Linked DNA regions of Drosophila melanogaster. The protein of the gene in region 1 purifies or fractionates together with the protein of each later gene. This does not show direct contact. Each region holds a gene or a part of one and is shown on either strand. Other genes may lie near its edges.

Region 1 (12,486 bases):
GCCTTGCCTTTTATAAATTCATTTTCTTAAATATTCGACCGTTCCCCATTTGGATATCTTTTGGGAAGGCAATATGAATAGCTTTAAGTCAATAAAATGGAAATGCAGTCTTAATAACTCGAAATTCGTTCGAGATTGGAAAATTCGTTCCAGCTTTGAAAATATTCGTCTAACCTGACAAAATGCATGTTTTAATAATGCATAAGGTAAACGTTCTAAGTAAGTATTGTTTGAAAAGCAAGAGCATACGGCGAATAACTACAATACTGCCAGCTATGATTAAACTCAGGAACTGGTTACCAAGGCACTGTAGTGGCTCCAAACTTCTGTCCTTCGTCTAGGCGAATCTCTGGGAGACCATGATCTTGGCCGAGAGCTTGGCAAAATTCGTGTGGCACTCGTTGCCGTGGAAATAGAGTCCAATAAGCAGCTTGAACTGGGCTGCTGACATGGGATACGGTTCCTGCGACATGACCACAATGGTGTCGATGCTTTTGCCCGCCTTCTGTTCCGCCAGATTGGCCAGGATTTCGCGGTAATTCACAAAGGATGCGGAGCACTTGGCAATTTGCCGGACCATTTTGTTCGTGGAGCACTGCTGCATCACAGGACGCAGTAGTGCATCCAAAACGAGCGACTGCAGATCAAAGACTATCAAATCGGGACTGCGCAAGGATTCGGCGCTATCCTGCATTTCCAGCATGCGAAGCGGGGTGCTCTCCACATCCACCAGTTGCAGAATGGTCAGGTATTTGCTGCAGTTATGGGCCTCCCATGGATAGCGCTTTGCCATTCCCTGCTGGCGACTGGTGATCAGTAAGACGCGCTTTTCTTTGGTGGCAAAGCGTTCGCATAGCTAAAAGAAATGCAATTTGATGTTCAAAAACCGACCTGAATCCGATGTTCAGAACTTACCTTTGCCAAATTAAGGGCGTAATCCTCACTGCCCGTCAAATATATATAGTTATTGTTGCAGTCGCTCAAACTCATTCCTTAAAAATGCTTACAAATTAAACAATATATATTTAAGGAATTCTAAAATTCTTCTGCCGCTATTATCGGTATCGGGATGAGTTTTTAATAGAGGTGCCGAAACATCGATGCTAATATCGATGCACCGAGGTTTTTTTTTAAATATTCCAAACATCGATGCTTATTTCAGACTATCGATGTTTTTAGGTTAATCACTAGAATTTCTTCAACTATTTTAATTAATTCAAATAATTAATTACTTTCAAATATTAGCTTGCAGTCATATATATTTTGGGTTTGTGGTGAAACTGACGCAAGTCGATGGACAACTTCGTCGGAGTCGGAAAGGGCATTTAGCAAAGCAGGTCAAATAATTATTATTACCAGTTATACCACCTTAAGATCTTGCATATGAAAAGAAATCTCATTGTTTTTCAGTTTGAATTATCATTCTTTGTTCTTTTGTTTTATATTAAATTAAAAAATTATTGAATTTAATAATATGCAAATGCTTTTTCTTATTTCTCAAGTGTAAATATGTATATATAATTTTTTTTAAAAAACATATAATTTTTAAGTCGGCTTATCGAGAAACAATACATCCGATAGGAATACCCTTGAGCAGTGTGCCCGAAATGATTATGCGATACTATCGAAATGATGTTGTGCAATATATGATAAATTAATATAAACTATCTATATCTAAAACTATTTCAGTATCATCGAAAGTTTATAAAGATCAGCTATTGCGTATATACATAATATGTACAATAACAAAAGTCAAATTAAAAGTTAAAAGTTAAAAGTTATGTTTTTATATATATATTTATTATTTAACAGTAACCAAAAAAGAATTTAAATGCGAACCTAGTTGGCATCCCCGGCTACAGAGTGACCATTTTGCAATCCGTCCAACGCCTAGCGGTGTCAGGCACTAAAAAATACCACAAACGGGGCGCCACCTAGAGTCCACCATATCAACCAGCCAATTGGCACATATAGCCGAACTCTTCTCGCACCCGCATAGCGTGCCGCGCGAGAGGGATAGCCGCACGCAGCGACCGATTGCTGGCAAACTCAACACAGCCGTGCCGACGAACAGACCGCACAAAGCGTAATGCAAAAGAATTGAAAAAAATCATCAAGTATAGAGGCCAAAAAGCGAACACAGCAAGTCGGCATATAATTAAACAATTGTCGTTCAATGCTGAGCAAATAAATGCGGCGATTGCAGCCCAGCAAAGAAGGCGAGCGGCAAATTGCGAATTGCGGTAAGGTACCAAGAAAAAAAGGGAGTAAAATTGAAAAGAAGTCAAACGAAATACGGATCAAGCGACACCACACACACATGCACAGACGCACGCACACAGTCACTCACGGTCGTGCACGCAGAGGCGAATGCCGTGTGTGCTTTAAGTGAAAAATTAAAGGCGTTCCGAATGCTAATTGCATTAAGGAGAGGACAAAAAGGAAGCTGTCTAAAGGATTGCTATGAATGTTTGTACTTTTAGGAGGCAGCAAAATAAGCCGATAATAAGGCGACCGCAATTCAGGCACACATATACGCCACACAAACACCGAGTCAGCGGGCCACACAGACGAAAAGCACACACACACACATGCCACTGAGAGCCTCCCATACAAGCAGACCACAACACACACACACACACATACAAGCGAGCGTGCCTTGGCAGGTGAGAAGAAGAAGAGGAAGCGGTGGAGGCAAAAGGAGGAGCAAACAGGAGGCGCCAAAGGCCCCAGAATATTGGATAAAATCGGAATAAGGCTGCATTATCTTCTCCACGAGAAGAGGAAGCAGCAGCAGCACTACCAGCAACAGCAGTCGACGAAGGAGAAGAGGAAGCAGACGCATAAGCAGCAGCAGCAGCAGCAGCAGCGGAAGAAGCAGCAGCAGGAGGAGGAGCAGGAGAGAGAGGGAAAACCAACAGAAGCAGCAGCAGCGTATTTGGCGAAAAACTTGCATTGATGGTAATGCATGCTAGAAAACCGCAGCGTATGAACGATGGGTAATATATCAAATATTATTTTCAATCTACCGTAATATCGGCAATAACAGTGATTCCCAACGTACTCACAATCACACACACACAGGCAAACTAGCACACTCATAATTGTATATTTTTTTGTTTACGTTCTGTCCTACTGCCATCTCGCTCTAACTCGCAGTGCCCGCGTTTCCTTTTTATCCTCAAATTTTCTCCGTTTACCCTAATTAAGTGATTTTCGTAAATAAATTTGTTTTCCCTATGTTTCTTGCTTTGATTTTCCCACTTATCCATCTTCTCGCGCTATTCATGTTTTTCGTCTTTTCACCACACAATAGTTGCCTCTCGCTCGCACGCGCTCAGCTGGCAAAAGGCCAAAAAAAAAAAAATAGTTCTTGTAACATTTACAGTTGCTTATTGCACCGCAAAATTAGTTCATATCCATTGTTTATCAAACGCGTTTCGCTGTTTGTTTATTTACCATCGCTTTTTAGCCGGCTTTCGATTGTCCGTTAAACGCAGAGCAACTAAAATTAATGACTGTCAACAAATCAATGCCGGCAATTGATAAGCGCTTCTGTTGATAAAATAAAGCTCAATCGGAATTGGGAAATCGATTTACAATTGGCATTTATTTAGTGGGTTTAATATTTAAATTTGATTTTCTAACACAAACAAAGGGATTTAAAATAGAGAATTTGACAAAAATCGATTCAGGTCAGTGCGTTTAAAAGTGCGTTGTAAATAAGCTGAAATAGCTGGTTAACTTCGAAATATGCACTTTGTCATGTCATAAACATTGTTGTGTTTCCTTCAAACACTTGAATATTTTCCCTTAAATCATTACATATTTAGAGCGAGTATAGCAGAACTAAACCAACTAAGTGTGTCTTATATACCCAACTTCATTTGAAAGGAAACTAATGAACTCTTCATCTTGCCCCACCGTTTTCCAGGTACTTTGAGAAGCATACCAGTCACACATCATACCAGGTAAGCAGACCGATCCGAAAATTCTCCTCGAACACCGCAATTAATCACATTTACATGCCAGCTTTTAGTGGACATTTTTAATTTTGTAGTTTAGCTCATTAGCCCGTAGTGCACCCAAAGCCACAAAAAAAAGAATGTAAAAGCCAATGTAAATCGTATTTTTATCGAACCGTCGATTTCCCTAGTGTCATTTGCTGATATTTTGGTAAAGAGAAAAATTAACAAAATTTGCAAATTGTATAGCCTGGATTTTGGATTATTTTTGGTTCATATTTCTCCTTCTTTGTCAATCGCTGTCTTTGTTGTGCATCCCAGATCTTACGTTCCCGTAACCTCATCCATTTTTGAACTGACCGAATCGTGTTTCATTTTAACCCATTCAAAAACGCGGCATTGCAGCCTGAACTGATCTTAACTTGAGAAACGAATCTGTACGCATCACTGCTAAAAAAAAAAAACAAACAAAAAACAAACCCAATCCGAATTCGATCATTTAATCAATTACAACATCTAACCGAACAGCACCAACAAATGTTTTAAATCGAATGATATATATGGTTAAAAGTATACAAATTTATCAAACTATATTAATTAGAAATCGAATGCATAACCAATTTCTAAACTCTGCCTAAGGAATAGGAACCTAATCAAATTAAAATAGCCTTAAAAACGACGTAGTAAACAATTATACACCAATATTAAAAATAACATGAATGTGCGGAACGGAAGAACAAACCAATTTCCAAATTGTCTAACGAAATAATCAACGACAACAACAAAAACACAAATGTGCCTCATACATAAAGCAACAACAATCAATTAAGACACCAACAAATAACTAATGCAAAACAAATAGGAAATAAACCAAAGCCAAATAAAGTGTGCCCTCGAAAACAAGCGACCAATTGGACTTTTAATTCAAATTAAAACCAAATACACTTCAATTAATTATCTATGAGGAGCAACAAAAACTCCTACGGCAGCAGCAACAACAACAGCAACAACATGGCTGTTGATCTCTCCCTTTCGACAACAACAATTGCCAATTGCAACAGCAACATTAGCAACCACAATAACAACAATAACAAAAACAGCGCATCAGCAGCGACGCTGGCAGCGAATTCAACGCCTTCAGCAGTGGGTCTCTGTCGCCTAGAAGTAAGTAACCCAAAGATCCCAGAAAATAATGGTTAAAAACAATAGTAAAATATAAAAACGCAAATAAAGTGATCAAAAACCAATAAAGTGCCACGAACATCGTGCTGTGCGCAGGAAAAGCAATCCTGATAAGGAATAAACAAAAAACATTCAAATTAAGGAACAAATAAAATTACTTAATAATGAATAATAAAAATCAAAAGAAGGCAACAGAACATGAAACATGCAGCAGGAATAAATCTTCCATCCAAACTCGTATATTTTAAACAAAAATCTGACTAAAACGACACACAAATCGCCGCTAATAAAAAACATCAACAAATTATGATTTACATACCAAACACCCAAAGAGTTATTATTCTATATCTCTTAAACAATGAAACACCACTCAATTATGAAGGATTCTTTATTAATTATTATAAAATTTTTTGATAAACACAAGATTGGAATTTTATGGATGATCCCAAAATTTACGATGGACAACAAACAAGGATTTTAATTTTGATTAATATTAAACTGGACAATTAGATTTTCAGTTTGGATAACCTGAAGACAACGACCAATATGAACCAAAAACGAAAGTATCACTTAAAAAAATCCTAAATAATTAGTTTCAATTAATATATAATTTACTCAGGAGACGATAAACCAAAACACACACCAAACACACGACACATTTCAAAATTCTTCTCGATTACACATTTGATTTCTCAAACCATCGGGAGTTTCATTTCACCCAACTTTCTTTTTGTATCCTTTCGTTTCCATTGGCAATAATCACAAGCGAGAAAATTGGCAAAAGTAGCTGGCATTATGCATTAACTTATGATTTTCCTATTGAGTAGATTTAGTTCAACTAACCAACCACCCAACTTCAAAAGTTACAACTAAACCGAGACTTAAATCAACCGCTATTAAGAATGCAATACTAAATATACCAGTGGGTTGGTACTATCCAAGAGATTCAGTAAGGATTTCCTAAATTAATCCCATTTGTTGGAACACGAAAAACTCATATATTGGCTACATTACTTGATGTACTGATTATATTGACCACATCTTGAATCCTTACTGCGATTTCTTAGAGAGTACTCGACAAACATTGTATTTTGTAGCACTGTGCAATTGATTTTGGGAATGTAAATCGACTAAAAACTGTGTGCGCTTTTATTTACCCGTGCAGAGCTCAAAGTACAGCAGTTCAAAGCGCGACTACGAACGCGATCGTTCCTCCAATTATCGCGATCGTGACCTGTCGCCAGGCGCTGGCGGTGGAGGAGGCGGCGGATCCGCTGGAGGAGGTGGCGGCGGTAGCGGAAATGGCGGCGGACCATTGAACAATGGCAACAGCTACCGCTCCCAGTCGCCGGACATTGATTCGCCGTCGTCCCGTTCGCACGATCTGCGCGACCGCAGCGATCATCGGGGCGGAGGTGGCGGCAATGGGCGTGGCGGCAGTGGCGAGCGGTACAGCTTTATGCAGAAGATGCGAGATCGAGATCGGGATGTCTACAAGAAGGATAAATATTCAGGTGAGTTAGCGCAGCTGCAAGTTGGAGTTGTATACCATAACAATACATTATTCTATTCTTCATAGATAAACGTGATCGGCGTGGCAACGATCGCGATTCGGAGTCGTCGTATCGCACCAACCATGATAGGGATCGTCGTGGCGGAGGAGGCAGCGGAGGCGGCAGCGGCAAGCTCTGCTCCTCGCGGGAGAACGACAAACGATCCGGGTCCGACGATCGCGATCGAGATCGGGATCGAGATCTGCGCGACTTGCGCGACAAGCGGGACCGCGGTTCCGATCGCGACAGGGACATGTACAAGAAGGACAAGTACGCAGGTAGGTCCAAGCGCCCATTTACCCCACATCTCCCCTTATTTACTAAACATACTCTGTGGCTTTTGTTTTTTTTTTTGTTAGACAAACGAGAGCGCAGCGATCGCGGCGAACGGACGGCGCGTTATGGCGACTGGAGCGAGCATGTCAGCTCATCAGGTGAGTCCCCCCATGACAGCTTATTCTTCTCCAGGCTCCAAACTATAATATTGGATTGCTTTCAGGCAAAATGTATTATTACAACTGCAAGACGGAAATCTCTCAGTGGGAGAAGCCAAAGGAATGGGTGGACAGAGAAAGGTAAAGGCAATGGCATTATAATATGACCAGCAAAGATCTTGGGAAGAATCTGTAATAAGAGCACCCTAGTCCTTGGTTAAATAGTCATTAATGTGTTATATGGTTACAGAAATTTGCCGCGCGATCAGCATCGTGAGAAGGATTATCGTGACAAGGATCGCGATCGCGACCGCGATGATCGTTTCTCCAGATCAAGTGAGTTAAGAACCTGCTTCAGAAATTTCAAATATGATATTCAAAACATGTGTTTTTCTTTGCAGCATACAAACATTCCAATTCTTCGCGGGACAATTCACGACTGAGATGGAATTACGACAACGATGGCGGTCCGCCCAGTCATCGAAGGCGTTTGGATGGTGAGCATAAAGCAGGTTGCGTAGGATCTAGTTAATTGATTTTAAAATCCTACCGACAGGTCGACACAACGACAATGCTGACATGGATATAAGCGGCGACTCGACGCCTACCTCGGAAGCCAGTTACTCGCTAAGCGGCACGCCCACCACACACGGCGGCGGTCCGGGCGGAGGCGGTCCCGGAGGCGGCGGCGGTAGCAACAGCGATCAGCCAATGGGCAATGCCCTGCCTCGTTTGTCCTCCCACCCAACTGCCAACTCCTCCGCATCCGTGGCGACGGGCACAGGTGCGACGGGGGGACTGCACTACGGCAGCGGAACGGGCGGTGGCCCGGTGACGGGCGCCACAATGCTGCCCACCATGTCGGGAATGCTGAACAGCAACAGCAGCAACAGTGCCGGCGGCAGCAGCAGCAATGCCAGCAGCAGCAGTCTGAGGAACTCCGTTGTCGGTCACATTGGCTCCACATCTGGCGTAAGTTTGGCTTGTTTGATAGCCTTAAGCTTTGGCTTTATTCTTATTTATATGCATTATGCATTGCAGACGACTGTGCCCACACTGGGAAGTCAGGATCCGCACCAGCATCATCTGAACTCGAATGCTCCACTGCCACCGGGTGCCAAGGGCAAGGATCAGGCGCTGCTGATGCGCCAGAAGATGCACCTGGGCCTGGGCGTCCTCGATGTACAATCACATCACGGCGTTAACTCGGTTGGTTCGGTGTCAGATGGGACCAATCACGCCTACAATTCGGTCAATAACTCGGTCTCCGGCAGCTTACGGTAAGCTATTGAAGGCATGTTGCAAGATCATCAACTAAACTTCATGGATATCAATATTGCAGGGACAACAGCGTAAACTCGCCGTTGTATATGCACCACAGCATGTCGCCCTCGTTGAACTTCACCAAGAGTCCCATACCGACGATTGTGGGCCACACGAACAACATGAGCATCGCCTACACCTGCAATCCACCCTTTGGCCTCAAGGCTACCCTCGATGGCGGAGTGATGGTGGCGAATGCCTCACCGGCCACGCCCGGTGGCAACGCCTCCTCCGGCTCCAGTGGAGCGAATAGCAGCCAAAGCATCGTGCCCGGCATGGGCCCCGTCTGCGGAATCAGTGTGATCACCTCGATGGGCAGCAACAGCGGCACGCTATGCGAAGGACCGCCTACGCCCACCCAGGAGCTGGATTTGAGCGGCTCGGCGTTGGAGCAGCAACAGTTGGCCGCCGCAGCGGCAGCCGCGACAGCGTCAAGCCTCCAGCTACAGGCGGCGCAACAGGCCCAGCAGCAGCGGAAATGTATGTATTCAAAATTCTAGTGTGTTCCGAGTTTAAAATATATGACAATGTTTGCCCATTTGTTATTCCAGTGGATGGGACGTCGTCGGCCACGCTGAGCTCACTGCAGAGCTGCGTGAGTTCCTCAGGACAGGCGGCAAACCTACGTGGTCCCGAGATTTCGCCAAAGCTGGCCAAATACTTCCGCGCCGATCTGATCGCGCATGTGACCAATTGGCACGCGGAGGTGCTGGAGCGTCAGGTAAGCTGTGAGGTAGGATTTGCCTGCGAATAAGGCACTAACCCGACCTCTGTACATACGTATACATATATCCATGGACTCGAACTGATTGTAAATGTTTTCCATTGTTTCTCGAAGGCGCAGAAGTGCTGTGAGGATACGCACCTGTTTGGCGACATAACGTGCACGAGGATATGCGCGGAATTGAAGTGCGCCCGCAGCCTGGTGCGAAGCACCGAAATCAATGCCACCCTGCAGGAACAAAAGTGAGTGTTGCAATGACATCTAAATGGTAGTTGTTCTAACCAATGCATTTTATGTATTGCCTTTCGCAGAATTATGTATTTACGCCACCAGATCCGCCGTATCGAGGAGTCGAAGACTCAGAACGCGTTCATGTCAGACGATACTTAGGATCAGGAGCAGGTTAGGCTGCGCGTACATCGCAAGCTGTCTGTTAGGCTCAAAAAGAGCTTCTTCTGGCGCAGCTGATGATGATTGCGATGATGATTGGTCGATTGTGGCCGCCGTCAGCAGCTTGTCCTCGTTTAGCAGGCCCGGATCCAACCCTATTTATTGAGGGCATCTGGAAATGGCTTAGATGATGACGACGACTGGCGGTGGCCCACGACAATGACTGAGAAACCGCGTGCATCCTGCTCCATCCTCTTACTTCTCTCCTCTGGGCGACGCATCTCTCCCCACCACCACAACCAGCCCGCGATTCACTTGTGTTCGGATCGAGTTCCAGTCCCCAACCGACTATATAGTGGCAGTATGTAACTGGCTGAGCGGACTGCATGGACTTGGCACAGGACAAATCAGGATAAATCAACCAACAGCTGCAACAAGAACTTCAACAAGAAACACAAAAACTAAAACATAATTTATAATTAGCAAAGCGTAAATTAAAAGCAAAAATAAACTAAAATAAGCATTGCATTAAGCAAGACGGAGGAAAAGCCAGAGAAATAGCCACAAATAAAATACAACACCATTCAAGATAACTACAAAAGAAGAATACAGCCAACAGCCGACCTATCAAGATCAAGAAGCAATATGGATAAAGCCTCGTATCGAATCGAATCGAAAGAAACAAAACAAAACAAAAGGATAAACAAACGAAATAGGATCAACAACACCAGCAAAGCAACAACACCAACAAAAAACAAGTCAACATAGTATACTCAACTGCAATAAAAAGCTAATTAAACTATATACAAATTATATATAAACAAATATATATAAATAGAGTATATGAAAGAGTGTATATTTACATCCACCTAACATAAATACGGAGGATAAATCATGATGATAAAATGATTACGATGACAACCAAAATGCGAGTCAAGTCGAACCGAATGCACGCTTCTCGGGACGAGGAAATCGACAATTTTATATATATATATTTATTTGTATATATATTATTTATAGGTTTGGCAGCCACCACACTTCCCACATTTATTTTTACAGTGCGATCGAAATGTTTGTTTAATCTGCTGATCATCGGCTTGGTATCCTGCTAATTGGTGCAGAATTTATATCTTGTTTTGTAGTTATTTACCGATTACAATTCATGTTTTTTATTTTAAAACTATAAGCATAAAAATTTATATTTACAACACACCATATTCTTTAACCTCCGATTCAAATTGCAGATAGATTTGTTTTAGTTTAGTTTTTTTTTGTATGCACTACATTAATGTCTTTATGATATATGATCGTATATATATATATATATTTTATTATATATGCATATATTATTTATTTGGCAAAAGCTACAATTTTATTGTTACATAAGCGTAGCGAAGCGAAAGCAGACACGAGGGAGAAGGGCGGGGAAAGAAGAACTAACAATTGTAATTTTGAGTTTTTTTTTTTTAAATCTTAACTTGACAAACCAACAAACAAAAGGAATGGATCTGCGAATTGCGCAGATTCGAAACAAAAATAAAGCAAACAGTTTAATAATGATAATGCTAATAACTATTGTAGATATACATATAAATAATATATAAAAAATATATTAGCTAAGCGTCGAAAACAAAACAAAAAAAAAAAAAAAACAACCGAAAAATAGAAACTTTTATTATGAATTAATTAAAAAATACAACAACAAGAAAATAATGGTTACTATGGTTATTTCAATGGGGAGTTTTGTCTATCCAAGTAGGCGTTTCATTTCCTGATTCCCATTTCACACGCTGTGTCACAGGAAAGCATCAGTTCCAATCGTGCTCCCGTAAACGAAAGTCATACGAAAAAATCTCTAACAACATAATAATATTTTTGATTTTCGATTCTGAACAATGAATAAAATGGAAGAAAACTTCTACAATGGATGCACTTGTTGCCATTGCTCTTGCCGCCGCTCTTGCTCTTGCTCGTCTTTAAAAGTGAGTCCCGGCGAATAGTGCCTCGTTTCTGGTTTATAATGATTCAACTATTCAATTATAATGTAGCGATGCAATTCCGCTGAATCGTGTCGCTTACTTATTCAGAAAAGTTCGAAATATATATACGATGGCGTTAGATGCTCAGATCTCAGATGTCCATACTGCAACGAAGCGCTTGGACAGAAAATCCTTTTATCGCACTCGGCGGAGTCCACTGCTCGAACGCCACAACAAACGCGGGTAAATAAGCAATAATTCGTTTATTCCAAAGTATGTACATATGTATGTATGTACATGCCGCGAATTCTTCATTAATCGCTATTATCATTTGACATTTTGTGATCAAAAATTAAATATCCCATCATTGATTATTCATTCATAATTACGACCTTAGATTTCCGACATACAGTTTAGTCATTCGGATAAAGGACGAAAAAGTTACAGTAAAATGAAATCGATGTCCGGATTTGAAGAGCCTAAAGATCAAGTTCAATATAAGAAGAGAGAGTCTAGCATATCAACACCATTCAGTTGCTATAGGGAGGATTCGCCAAGGTCCTCGTCCAGAGTTAAGTCTACCGGAAAGTACAGTTGCAACTGCTTCACAAAGGAACAGCCAAGAAAGTATGTTTCAAAGACTGCCGAAGAAATCAGAAGGACGGTTCGAGCGGAGATTGCAGAGATGGAGCAAAAGCAGGCAATGGCAGACAAAAATGGATGTGATTTTACTTTTTGCAAGCCACCGCAGAGTGGACGATTGTCATCTAATGAAGAAACCAAGAGTAAATCTAAAGATGAAGAGATTTTTACGGAGTCCGAGAAATTGATACTTAGCAAAATTGATTGGCGTACTACTGCCACCAATGATTTGTCTAATTCCGAGGTAATTTATTCGACGATAAAGCGCTTGCTGCGCGTATGTCTGAACAACAA
Region 2 (11,536 bases), on another chromosome or scaffold:
TCACGCGATTGGCATGGACTGCGGTCACTACAAAGAATGATAAGAAGTCCACGGATTAGTCGGGTTTTTTCTCAAATCCACATTGTATGATTAATATTTATACTATATATATGTATATGTTCTTAAAGAGATTGAATTTACTTACTTACATACTTGTAAAATATATAATTAAATTAAATAAGAACAACTTTTCATCTTGACTTACATAGAAAGCTTCAATATACTGAATCTACAACCAAGTTAGGCTCCAACTTCTTTATAAAAAGTGACGAATATCAAGTTTGAAGCCTTTGCTTTAATCAAAACAAAAAAACTCACTAGGCAAACGACGAAACTTATTGTTTAATAATTCTGCATATATGTATTTATCAATGAGATTTATTAGTGGTCTTCCCATTGAAATTGGTTCAAGGTCCCAGTGATCTCAAGGCGAACGCCACCGGATCACGGATCGTTGTAATTTGCAAATATTTGCTAATTAAAACTCGCGTATGAGACGCGTTTTTGTTAAAACAGAGCTGCGAAAGCGACGAAATAAAAAAAAAAACTTATAATTTATTCACTTCTTTGTTGTTAGGGGAACCATAAAGCGACCACCAAATGCCATTATGGTCGCATATAAAACATGTATGGATGGCAAAAAGACTGAAAAAGAAACCAGGCGAATTGGTTCAAGTTCAAAACTGTTTACTGAAAGCGGGTCAAAAAGAAATATATGTATGTATGTATGTCTGTATGTTCGTAATTAGCCAGTACCAGAAAGAGTTTCACTGTTTGAGCATCCGAGCATCATTCATTGCATAACAATAAAGAGCGTGGAAAGCAAAGAAAAGTATGTGGAAAGCGACCGAAACAATGCCACTGTTTGACTTTTGCAGATAAACAAAGTGCAAACATGGATTTATATCAATATTTGCACACAATTTGTGATCCGAGCTGCGGATGGATTTGATTGTTTTATGGCCCTTTGTCTGCGCACTTTGAATCCCCCAGCCAGATAATCGAGATCGAAATCCGTTTTCCCATGACTTCGACCCATTTGCATATGTACATACATATGTACATATATACATACATATCTCTTGGGTTCGAATGTTGCGAACTCTGTGCCATTTAATTGATTCGATTTTGGTCCAAAATTTGCATTCGATTTTGCTTATTTTTTGTTTAGCTTTTTTTTTCCTTTTGTCGGCTTTTCAATTTTCGTTTTGTCGGTTTTCCCCCCGCTCCCCCCGGAAATGCGATTTCAAAATGTCATTGGGCAATGCGCCCGTTGGATCCCGCTTGCCATCTCTTTCGTCCGCCAGCTACCCCTGTCTCTCTCTCTCTCACTCTCCCGCTCTTCCACAAGTTTCAACATGTTTATTAGGAGCTCGTTGTGGCTTGCGTGGCTTTTGTGTGGCCAACTGAACAGGCCAATAATGCAACAGGCGGTGCAATCGTGGCTTATTTGGTAATTGTTATTCCACAGGCTCCTTTATTCTCCGCGTTGATTGATTTTCGAAAAGGTTTCAGGCTAATCATGTTTGGTTTTTCAAAGCCAGCACACAATTGCAAATCCATTTTTGATCAAAAGGGTTAATTGGATTTTGATACATTTTGATACATTTTGATTGCTTTTTGATTGAATTGCGCATGAAAAGCTTAAAATTAAAAAAAAAAAACAAACTTTGCGAATGGAGGAGGGCGGTTCGTTTGGTTATTAGTCCAGATTATTATCCTATAACATGTGGTTATAATCTTTTCTTTTTTTTCCATATTGTTTTGCTATGAAAATGATTGAAAATGTTGAATGAAATGCTGTAAGTAATTTGATTAATCCTTGTATGCTATCCTGTTCATATATCCTTTTCGTTTCAGTTTTGGCTACATCCTTTCAGTTGCTCTCGAAATTATCACAAACACACACACACACATTGGCACTTACACTCCTTTTTTTTCGATTCCTTTGATCGTTGTTTTCAAGCACGTCACACGCTGCGTATGAGCAATGCCAAACGCCCGTTTCGCAATCCTTGATACGGGTTCTCTGGCCTCTACTTGTATATGAGCACCTCGTTGGGATTTAGCTAGGCCAAACGATCTTCGTGAGACGACGCGCCGATCGAAATGTATGTACGTCCGAACAACGCGAGGTCCAAACAACGAATGACGCTGGCTGGAGAGGCCTCGTCTAGAAAAACAACGAAAAAGCCCGAGGAGAAACAAAAATTGTTAAAGAAATTAACTGGATTATATAATGGCCATGCCACCACTACAGCCGAACATTATGTATAGCCCACTGAGCCGAGTGTCGAATGCAATCTGATCGGTTTGTTCGCTGGGTAAATGCTGCTGCTGCGGCTGCATGGAGATTGAGTTGAAGCTGGAGATGGAGATGGAGATGGAGGGAACAAGTTTTTGGCCAGCCGAAACTGAAAGTACGAAGTACACGAACCTTTTGGCCACATGTTTTTTTTTTTTGTGGGATAGAGCCTGATCCCAGCCATCAAAGGCAGCCATAAAGTATTAAAGAGCTGCTTGTTGTTAGGCAATGTCAGTTGGGCAGTTAGTCACTTGCTCACTTGGACGCTTGGCCACCACCAGTGGCTGTGGATCAGGTTCGCTAGCTGTTCATTTTTAACTTTACTTCACAGTTAAACCTTTGTGAATCCATAGCTGTACTCCCTGCCCATTTGCACGCCCATCATTTCATTCATTAGGTTTGTTCAGAAACGTTTGCATTTTCAAAATTTGCATTTTCATGGCTCGACTTGAGGTGGCAGTGAAGCGAGAATGGTGGCCAACCTTGAAATGGCAATACCCCATTCGTAATGATGCTGTCGCCATTGCTAATGGTCCAAACACCTAATGACCACCCGGCGTATACGTCATCTGGCGATCGGATGATATGGCGATGTTTATCCAGCTCTCCAGCTCTCAAGTTCCAGTTTCAGTTTCAGTGCCAGTTGGAATTGCGACTGCAGTTTACGACTGGGGAAATGCGTTGGCCCTTTCGGCTATTTCGGACTCTTTGTGGACCCACGGCCATGACGTGGGCTTGGACCAGTGAACATTTGGACATTTGGACATTCGAACATTGGGACATCTGAGTAGCGTTGGCATTTCGGCATTTCCCAACCCGAAGGGCGTAGGTCCACAAATGCATGGGGGGATTCATTGAGCTGCGATCATCAGCATGCTAATATAATGATTAGTTTCCGTTCGCCCGTGGGCGAGTTGATTGGATGAATCGATGGATGGGATGGCACGCCCTGAGTGCTAAACAATCATTAGACTGCAGTGTGAAAATGCCTTTGTTCGATGATAATTAATGTTGATCTTGTTATGAGCCTTGATTCAATGACAATTTCGTTTCGTTGATAGCAGAGAGAAGGCCGCTTGAGAAAGATTTCCCTTCGCAACCTTGGTGGTTAAGTGAAAAACTCCATTTCATTAGCATTTGGCTATGTGGATTAAGAGCTTATGGCCATTGGGTTTAGTGTAAAGGTGACCCACGCATGAAGTTTTGTATCTAGGATTATAATATTCAATGCTAACTAAAATCTGTATAAATCTCATCTGCAAGTTTTAATGTAGTTACTCATGAACTGAAGCTGTGGTTTAATGACTTGAGCTCATTGACTTTTAAGTTATTGTATATTAAATTTGAATATAATTAACCTTCTTCCAAGTATTCTAAACAAATAAATAAATCTCTTAATACAAACAATTGTAGTAACCCAAAGTGGTTACATTCTTTGGTATACTTCCGTGTGCTAATCTCCTGTAGTCTTGCGACTCGGTTATTCCCCGCTTCCAGTGATAACCTTCGCCATTGTCCCTGACCAGCACGGATTGACCTACTCCAGCGCTCCACCGGCACAGGCCGATCTTAAACGGATTCGTTATGTTGGTAATAAACGCACTCGCTTTGCCAAGTGCTCGGTGTAATGTTGCTCACTCATCGCTGGCACGATTTTGATTTCTCACTCTTTTTACATTTATTTTTTCGCTTTCGTTTCATTTTGCCTCATTTATTTAACATTTTTGTTTTTTTTTTGTAGCCTGGCTTGCCGCATAACGAGTTTACGGCGCAGATGCCCCAACAACCCGTCCAATTGCTCCACATCAGCTGGTAGCTGGCAGGTAGTCCGCTCATAAAGATGCCGCCACCTCTCGATGCGAACAATAATAATAATAATTTTTAATAAACACATTACATGGCGCAAAGCGGACGAAACAATTTGCAATTTCTGTGAATCGAGGGGGGAGGTACATCTGGAACTGCTGGATGGGGTAAATTTTTTGAAACCTTTTTTTTCGAAATATTCGGCCGTGCAAACAAACAAGTCTCACTGCCCACAAGATTTTACGGTGCTTTTGTGATTTTGGTCTTAGCCATAATTAACAGCGAAGAAAATCAGCGGCAGGGCTTTATTATGGTTTCGAAAATGAATCAAGCTCCAGCATACACGCACATTATCTATCCTATCCATACATTCTCTTTCTGGCTGCTGGCTATTTTCGGGTCTTGAAATCTTCAAGTCTTTCTTGATCCGCCGAAAATGGCAGACGTTTGATTTCGTACAAAAATTTGCATATCATTTTTGGTGATTTACAGAACAATAATTTATCATCAAAGTCTTTTTAGGGCATCGATGAGGGGGCTTATTTGGCCAATACGCAATACACACTTTGTTGATACTGGCGCAGTTACCACGAGCCCACTTGACCACTTGCCAAAGGTAAATAAATTCTTGGCTCACTTTTGGTCGCCGAATTGCGTCAGCTGTTAATTATAATTGCACAAGACAATGTCGTTGCTCTTGAGCCATTGTAATAAATACTAGGTAGCATAATTACTGGGGAATGGCCTGGCCAACTGGGCTGTTCTGGCCAATTGGAACCTAACACGGCTAACTTAAACTAGATTTGCCTGCAAAAGTGTGATGCAAATTAAAATTAAGACAATTGCTCAAAAGACTTTGGTCCAGTTGGACGCAATTAAATATTTATAAATAGAAAATATGCAATGATAATTACCAATTTATACCAGTTGAGTTAAATTAACCATTCGTTTTATGTTCTTGTGCCATAAAATAGAAATTTAGAATATGATCAAACTGTTTATACATAAAATTATAGTTATGGCCACTTTCCTACTTTCTGTAGAGAACAAAATACCAGCATAGCGTTTTAAACCCCGATAACCTGTTGCGCGCCAATGGTTACAGGTTTCAGATAAGCATCGATGTTATTAACATGAGTGCGTGGGTGCTAACAGCTCTAACAGGTGGATTTCATGTAGAGAGATAACATTGATTGAAAGTCACGATTTCTGATCATTAGTTTCTTTATTCGTTAAACAGTACACATAAAGAACGAACACATTTACACACAAACAAAAAAGCAATCAAAACTCGTTTTGTTCAGCTGAACAACAATTTTCGATCATACATTATTACAATTACTTATCAATTATAACCAAGTTAGCAGCCCTTCAAAGCAAAGCGCGACTTTTAAACGGATTCTCCGCCAAGTTTATACATTTGATATCTATGCTACGTTTGATCATTACAATAGGAGTATTTAACTTAAGATTAGAATACGCTTAATATAATGCTAACTGAATGCAAGACAAAGAACCTACACTTATGTATATATGGGGTATCTAAATAACTCGGGGCATGCTAAACAATAGGTTTTAGCCATTTATTAGTGTTCGTACATTTAGTTTTCAAATGAAATCATTTAAAAATAGTTTGATTTACAAAAACTAGAAGCTACATAAAAACCGCGTCACGATCTCGCGGCACTCATAATGAGATGCTTTTGCTTGGCGCCAGAATGAACGAATTCAAATAATTGCCATGGGAAATCTGGTGGGGGAAAGTTATTCGGAGACTACTTAACCAAATATTAGTACGTAGGTAATATATGCATAATGAATAATAATCCGGCATGAATGCTGGGTGTGCGGTAGTGGTGTGTGGCGTGGGTGGATTTGTGTATGAATAGGACATGACCGGAACGTATCTAAATTATCGCTTATCTACTGCAGATATAGCCTATGATAATCGTTGGCGCCGAAGGCGCAGTTGCATTTGGGACACTTCCGCTGCCGCGTTTCATATCTAGTGCGCAGGCAGTCGTAGCAGAAGACGTGGAAACACTTTGACAGGACAGCATCCTTCCGCTTCACCTTGCACGAGGGACACGTGAGCGTTTCTTTGTATTCGCGGATCTCCTCAATCATCACCTCGTCGATGGTGGTGCCCGACATTTCCATCTTCTTCATGCGCTCCGCCTTGCGTTTAAACTGCGCCAGCTCCTCCTGCAGCCGCTTGGTCTTGTAGGCCTCCGCCTCCAGCGAACTGGTCTTCTCCGCCACCACTTGCTGCGCCTCCTTCATTTGCGCGTGATACTTTTCCAGATGCAGCTTGAGGTCCGCTGCCGATTGCGCCGATTCAATCGCCTTGCGTTTGTGCATCTCCATTGCTTGCTGCCGCAGCATCAACTCTTTCTCAATCGACGCGACGGTGGCCTGCAGGCTGCGTTCCTTCTCCTCCAGCTTTCGCAGCACAATGTGCATGGCTTCGATTTGCGTGGTCGCCGTTGCCATCTGATCCTCCAGCACCGTCTTTTCCTCTCTCAGAAGTTTGTGCAGCTGGTTGGCCTTGATGCGCTCCGACATTAGCTTAAAGTTCGCATCGTCCTTCTCACGCAGCTGTTGTATGAGCCGGGAGTTCTGCTCCTGCATGTCCTCGAACGCCTGGCCGGTAACCTCCATCTCGTTCAGCAGTGCCTCCTCTTCGTGGGAACCAACAAACGGTCGCGTGTAGTTCGCTGTGCCGGGGGCTCCACTGCCCCAAGAATTATCCGTTGGCTTGTGGTTGGCCATCTGTTTTTGCAGCTCGTACTTCTGCTCCTCCAATTGCTTAATCTTACGTAACGCCTCCTCGTCGGCCAGCTTCTTGCGTTCCTCGCGCTTGCTTTCCTGCAGCTTCTTCAGCTGCTGGCGGAGCTCCTCGATCTCGGAGCGCAGTTTCTTTTCGGTGGCCATCAACTGGACCTTGTCGCGCTGATCCTTCGATACGCCTTTGTACATATCCAGCAGGAGTTTCATTTCTTTCTGGTCGTTCAGTGCTTTTCTGTAAATCAAACAATGTTAAATAGATAATCGTAATTGCTGAACAAACTTACTTTAGTTGCGCCTTCAGATCGCGCACCGTTTCACTTTCCACTGCCTTCACATCCTTGCCCTTGACACCATCCTTGGAATCCTTTTCGTTTTTGACGGGAACAGAATTGGTCGCAGAACTTGTTGAGTTTCCGGGTCCAGGGGAATCCTTCTTCTCAGCTGCCGCCGCGTCTCCAGAACTGAGCTTCTCCTGCTTGATGCCGTCTTTTACGTCCTTACCACTGGCCTCGTCATCAGCTTCATCTTCAGCCGAGATATGGTTCTCCTCCTTGATGGCTACGTTGGTATCGTTGCCGGAATTTGTTTGGTTTGTTTGTCCACTGGCGGAAACGTTGTTGGAGTTCTCCTCCTTCACACCTGTTGAGTTCTCCTGCTTGATTTCTTCGCCAGCCGCACCAGTCGCCGCCTGCAACTTGTTGCCTTCGAGTGTAGCTAGTGCATCGGCCAGCTCCTGACGCAGCTTCAAGTTGTCCGTGGACGTGTCCTTGTACTTTCGCTTGTAGCGCTGCACCTCACCCTTCAGTTGGCCATTGTGGTTTTGTAGAGAGGTGATCAGGTGGCGCATCTCGCGATTGATGGGTGCCGTCTGCTCGTTGGCTGCCATGTTCTGCTCGAACTCAATGCGTAGCGTTTCGTACTCCTTTCGGATGAGGGCTAAAACGTCCTCCATCTGGATCATCTCGCTGCGCACCTTCTTCTGGGCAATAAGTTCCTCGCTCTCCATCACTTCGATTTGTCGCAGATGCTGGTTCTTGCTCGTTTGAAGCTGGTTTCGGGTCTCGTCCAGCATGGTCTTTATCTGCATGGACTCGTTGTAGAGCACGGAAAACTGGCTCTGCAGGCACTTGTACTCCGTGGTTTCCACAATTACCGATTCCGGCAACTGTCGTATCTGGAATGGATTTTAAGGATGAATCAGTATAATACAAAGAAAATATAAACGAAATGACTAACTATAATTAGCAATGCTCCAGATAAGCTAATACATTATTCATTCAAAACTTACATCCATTTTAAGCTTCTCCACCTCCTTCAGGGTTTCGCGATGCGTGGCGTGAAGCTTATCCAGCTCCTGCAGTCGGTTGTTGGCCAGTTCGCGGTACTCCTCCAGCTCCTTTTGCAGCTCCTCCAATAGCTGGCTATTAACGCTGGTGGTGGCGCCGCCGCTGCCTGTGGTAGTTGGTGTCTTGGCACTATTAGTGCTCTTATTGGGATCACCGTAAATCTGGTGGTAGGCCTTCAGCTTTTCAATAGCCTCGGCCAAGTGGTTCTCCAGCTTATCATTCCGGCAATGGATCTTCTCTAGGTCATATTGCAGTTCGTCTATCTGGTTCTTCAGTTCGGCGTTCTCCGTCTCCTTGGCGGTATGAGCGTCCTGGTACTCCTTCATCTTCAGCGACATGGTGTGGAACTTCTCGTGCAGCGAGGTATTCAGATTCTGCAGCTTGTGATTTTCGCTCATGATCTCGATGTGCGTTTGCTTCAGGGTTTCCTCTAGCGCATGGACACCGGCCGATGACGTTGTGGTCTCCGCATCGCCGCTGGCCTGCTGCTGCTCCTCCTCGCCGCCAGCTCCCGCTCCTGAACCGGAGCCAGCTGAAGCCAGACTATCACCTTTCAAGACATGAGTTATCTTTTCATTGCGTTGCATTAACCTATCAATAACCTGTACGATCTTGGCGACCGCCCTTTTGGACACTTGGACGCGGTTGGCCAGCTTCTCGTCCAGCTCCTCCTTGTCCCAGGTGGACAGTTGGGCGAGAAACGAGGTGGTCACCTCGTTCTCATTCCGGTTCTCCAGTTCGTCGGCCGTCTCGGCATCGAAGCGCTGCAGCAGGACTCGTATGTCCTCGTTCAGCTGATTCCAATACCGATTGACCACGTTTAGAACGGCGTCGTCCTGCGTTTGCCGCTTTTCCAGCTGCTCGATTCGATGTCGCAGCTCCGCCTCCGTTCGCATCCGCTGTTCGATGCGCTGTGCTAGCTTCTTGTTCTGGAATTCCAGCACCTTGATGTCCATCTCCTCCAGCGTGGACACCGGCCCAATCAGATGGGGCTCGAAGTGCACCTTCTTGATGGGCGGCTGGCCGGCGGCTGCGGCGGCCACCAAGCAGCTGCTGCCGGTGGCGTCGTCGGCGCTCCGTTTCGACATCCTTGCACTGCGGAAAACAAGATTAGGACTGATTTCAGTTGTAAAAACAATTGGAGTGTTGAAAATTATTGATTTGCCCATTCGTGGCTGTACTCCATTTTTTATCGTGTGCGGCGGAGGCGGTGGCGGTAGAGGCGTAACGCTCCCGCCACTGCCAACATCGCCATGCCTTCGGTGTACTCAAAATCTAGATGGTGGTGGGCCACTTACCTTAATCTCGGGTTTATACACTTTTAACTTAACATTAATTAAGGTTTTCTTTTGCTTTTCTACGTTTTGCCTGGCTTCATCAATATCGAATGCGGGCTGCGGTCACACCTGGGAATTTTCACAGCAGCACGGTAACACTATTTGCAATACTCCCTCGCATTTGCGTTCACGTTATCGATAACTATATGTCTGTGCTTAGCGGTAAATATCGAATAGAGGCAGGTAAAACTAAAAATACTAGATTCAAAGCGGGAAATTTAAATTCACGAAAATTAAGCAAAAGAAATATATGATTAACTATTTCGAATAAAATGAACAATTTAAAAATGCATTAAAAAGCCATAGTTTTGGTAACTGGAAATCGAAAGTGAATTTCAATTTATTAAGTAATTTGGGATCGAACACGAAATGCACATGCATCTAATAATTAGATTTTAATTTGATTATTGGTGGCTGGGCTGTGTGGCGACTACTGGACTGGTGCTGTACTGGATGTAGTGCTGCCCGACTAAAATGTTTGGTACTTCAGGGCCTGTCGCAGGGTCATGCAGTCGACCTCGTCGATCTTGCAGGTGTTCGCCTTGATGTTGATCTCCTCCTCCTGCATCACCTGGACGTGCATCAGGTAGCGCATGGATGCCTTGTTCTCGTTCAGCTTCTGATTGAGCTTGCATACGGATGCCTTCAGCGCCTGCAGTTCGTTGTAAAGCGCATCCTGGACCATGTCGCAGGTCAGCTCCAGGCCAGGACGATGGGCGCGATTGCTGAGCCGCGTCTGGCACAGTGTAATGGCCCGCTGCTTGTCCATCATCTCCTTCTCCAGCTCGGTCATGTTGCGCTGCACCTGATGGATGTGATCCATGGTGTCCTTGTGCTTGTTCTCCAAACACTGTTTCACGTGCTTCGTCTCCGAGATCCTTCGCTCAAAGGCCTCGTTGGTCCTGTCCGTCTGGTTCTGCATATCCTCGCACACCTGCTTCAGCAGCAAATCGATGTAGGCCCGCAGCTGCCCGGCGGACACCAGCGCCTTGGCGTTGGCCTCCAGATTCTCGTACGTCTGCGCCTGCCACTCGGTCAGCGAAAATTGGCTGGGTAAGGAAGAGAAGGGGGTAAAGGCATGGTGGAGTCATGGCAACTATCAGGTCGATTTGAGTGGTTGTAAATAAATCACTTAATTCCAATGCACTAAAATAGACTCAGGACAACTCTATCCCATATCACCAAGGAAACTGCGGTTTCATTGTTAGGTTTGACCTTCCTCAATTCCATTCCTAACTGAAAAGGGGAACAACTACTTGACTTTGTAATGGAATTTGTGGATAAGACTCTAGTAAAATGTTTATCCTTTTAAACTCCTTGTACTGATGAACACCGAAATGACTTACGCATAAAAGTGAAAGAAAAAAGATTAATAATCAATCCACTTCATCATTCCTTAAAAAGGAAACCCCAACATGTGTGATTGACATGCAACCTAGTTTTCAAAAACCTACCAATGCTGTTTGGACAAATCCTGTCCCTTAGCCAGGTCGTGCTGGAACTCCTTGAGCTTCAGGTTCTTCTCGTCGATGGCCAGTGACTTATCCTTGGCGGCCAGATCCTGATCGAGCAAATAGATGGCGGCGCGCAGCTTGCGGATCTGCTCCTCGGCTTCCTTGAGGGCGGCATCGGCCAATCCCTGACAGCCCTTGATCACCTTGAGCTCACGGCGCAGCGAGCGATCCACCTCGTCGTCGCACAAATCCACACCGATCCGACCTTCGCGTAGGATCAGGCACTGCTTGCAAATGGCCAGCGACTTGTCCTTCAGGAACTCGATGCAGTTCAGCACGCGATTGCGATAGGTGTTCAAGGCCTCATCCTCCAGGGCGGCGGTCTTCTTCTGGCGATTCAACTCGTCCACCAGGAATCGGATTTCGCTCGTCCGTTCGCGCATATGGTGCTCCACCTCCCGTTGCCAGTTCTTTGTGGTGTCCTTCGTTTCGTCCACC

The links.
Region 2: the proteins of wcy (region 1) and Bre1 purify together in Drosophila melanogaster (affinity purification with mass spectrometry, with the first as the bait; one large-scale study listed by BioGRID). This does not show direct contact.

Annotation. Positions count from the first base shown.
Region 1 is NC_004354.4:17,067,438-17,079,923, reverse strand, and holds wcy (wacky), read left to right. Parts: upstream 1-4,267; 5' UTR 4,268-4,925; coding exon 4,926-5,129; intron 5,130-6,312; coding exon 6,313-6,661; intron 6,662-6,726; coding exon 6,727-6,978; intron 6,979-7,059; coding exon 7,060-7,134; intron 7,135-7,199; coding exon 7,200-7,275; intron 7,276-7,384; coding exon 7,385-7,470; intron 7,471-7,535; coding exon 7,536-7,631; intron 7,632-7,690; coding exon 7,691-8,106; intron 8,107-8,175; coding exon 8,176-8,414; intron 8,415-8,476; coding exon 8,477-8,937; intron 8,938-9,008; coding exon 9,009-9,178; coding exon of another isoform or gene 9,179-9,190; intron 9,191-9,295; coding exon 9,296-9,423; intron 9,424-9,492; coding exon 9,493-9,571; coding exon of another isoform or gene 9,572-9,649; 3' UTR 9,650-10,906; downstream 10,907-12,486. Other genes in the region: CG4949 (uncharacterized protein), read right to left, coding at 338-856, 916-990; CG43077 (uncharacterized protein), read left to right, coding at 11,467-11,553, 11,620-11,793, 11,948-12,486. UniProt on the Drosophila melanogaster protein: Acts as a linker between gene transcription and histone H2B monoubiquitination at 'Lys-118'. Regulates the cell-cycle checkpoint activation in response to DNA damage. Positive regulator of amino acid starvation-induced autophagy.
Region 2 is NT_037436.4:5,784,511-5,796,046, forward strand, and holds Bre1 (Bre1), read right to left. Parts: upstream 9,683-11,536; 5' UTR 9,546-9,682; intron 9,343-9,545; 5' UTR 9,336-9,342; coding exon 8,190-9,335; intron 8,076-8,189; coding exon 7,186-8,075; intron 7,134-7,185; coding exon 6,035-7,133; 3' UTR 5,321-6,034; downstream 1-5,320. Other genes in the region: Tektin-C (tektin C), read right to left, coding at 10,054-10,633, 11,039-11,536. UniProt on the Drosophila melanogaster protein: E3 ubiquitin-protein ligase that mediates monoubiquitination of 'Lys-117' of histone H2B. H2B 'Lys-117' ubiquitination gives a specific tag for epigenetic transcriptional activation and is also prerequisite for histone H3 'Lys-4' and 'Lys-79' methylation.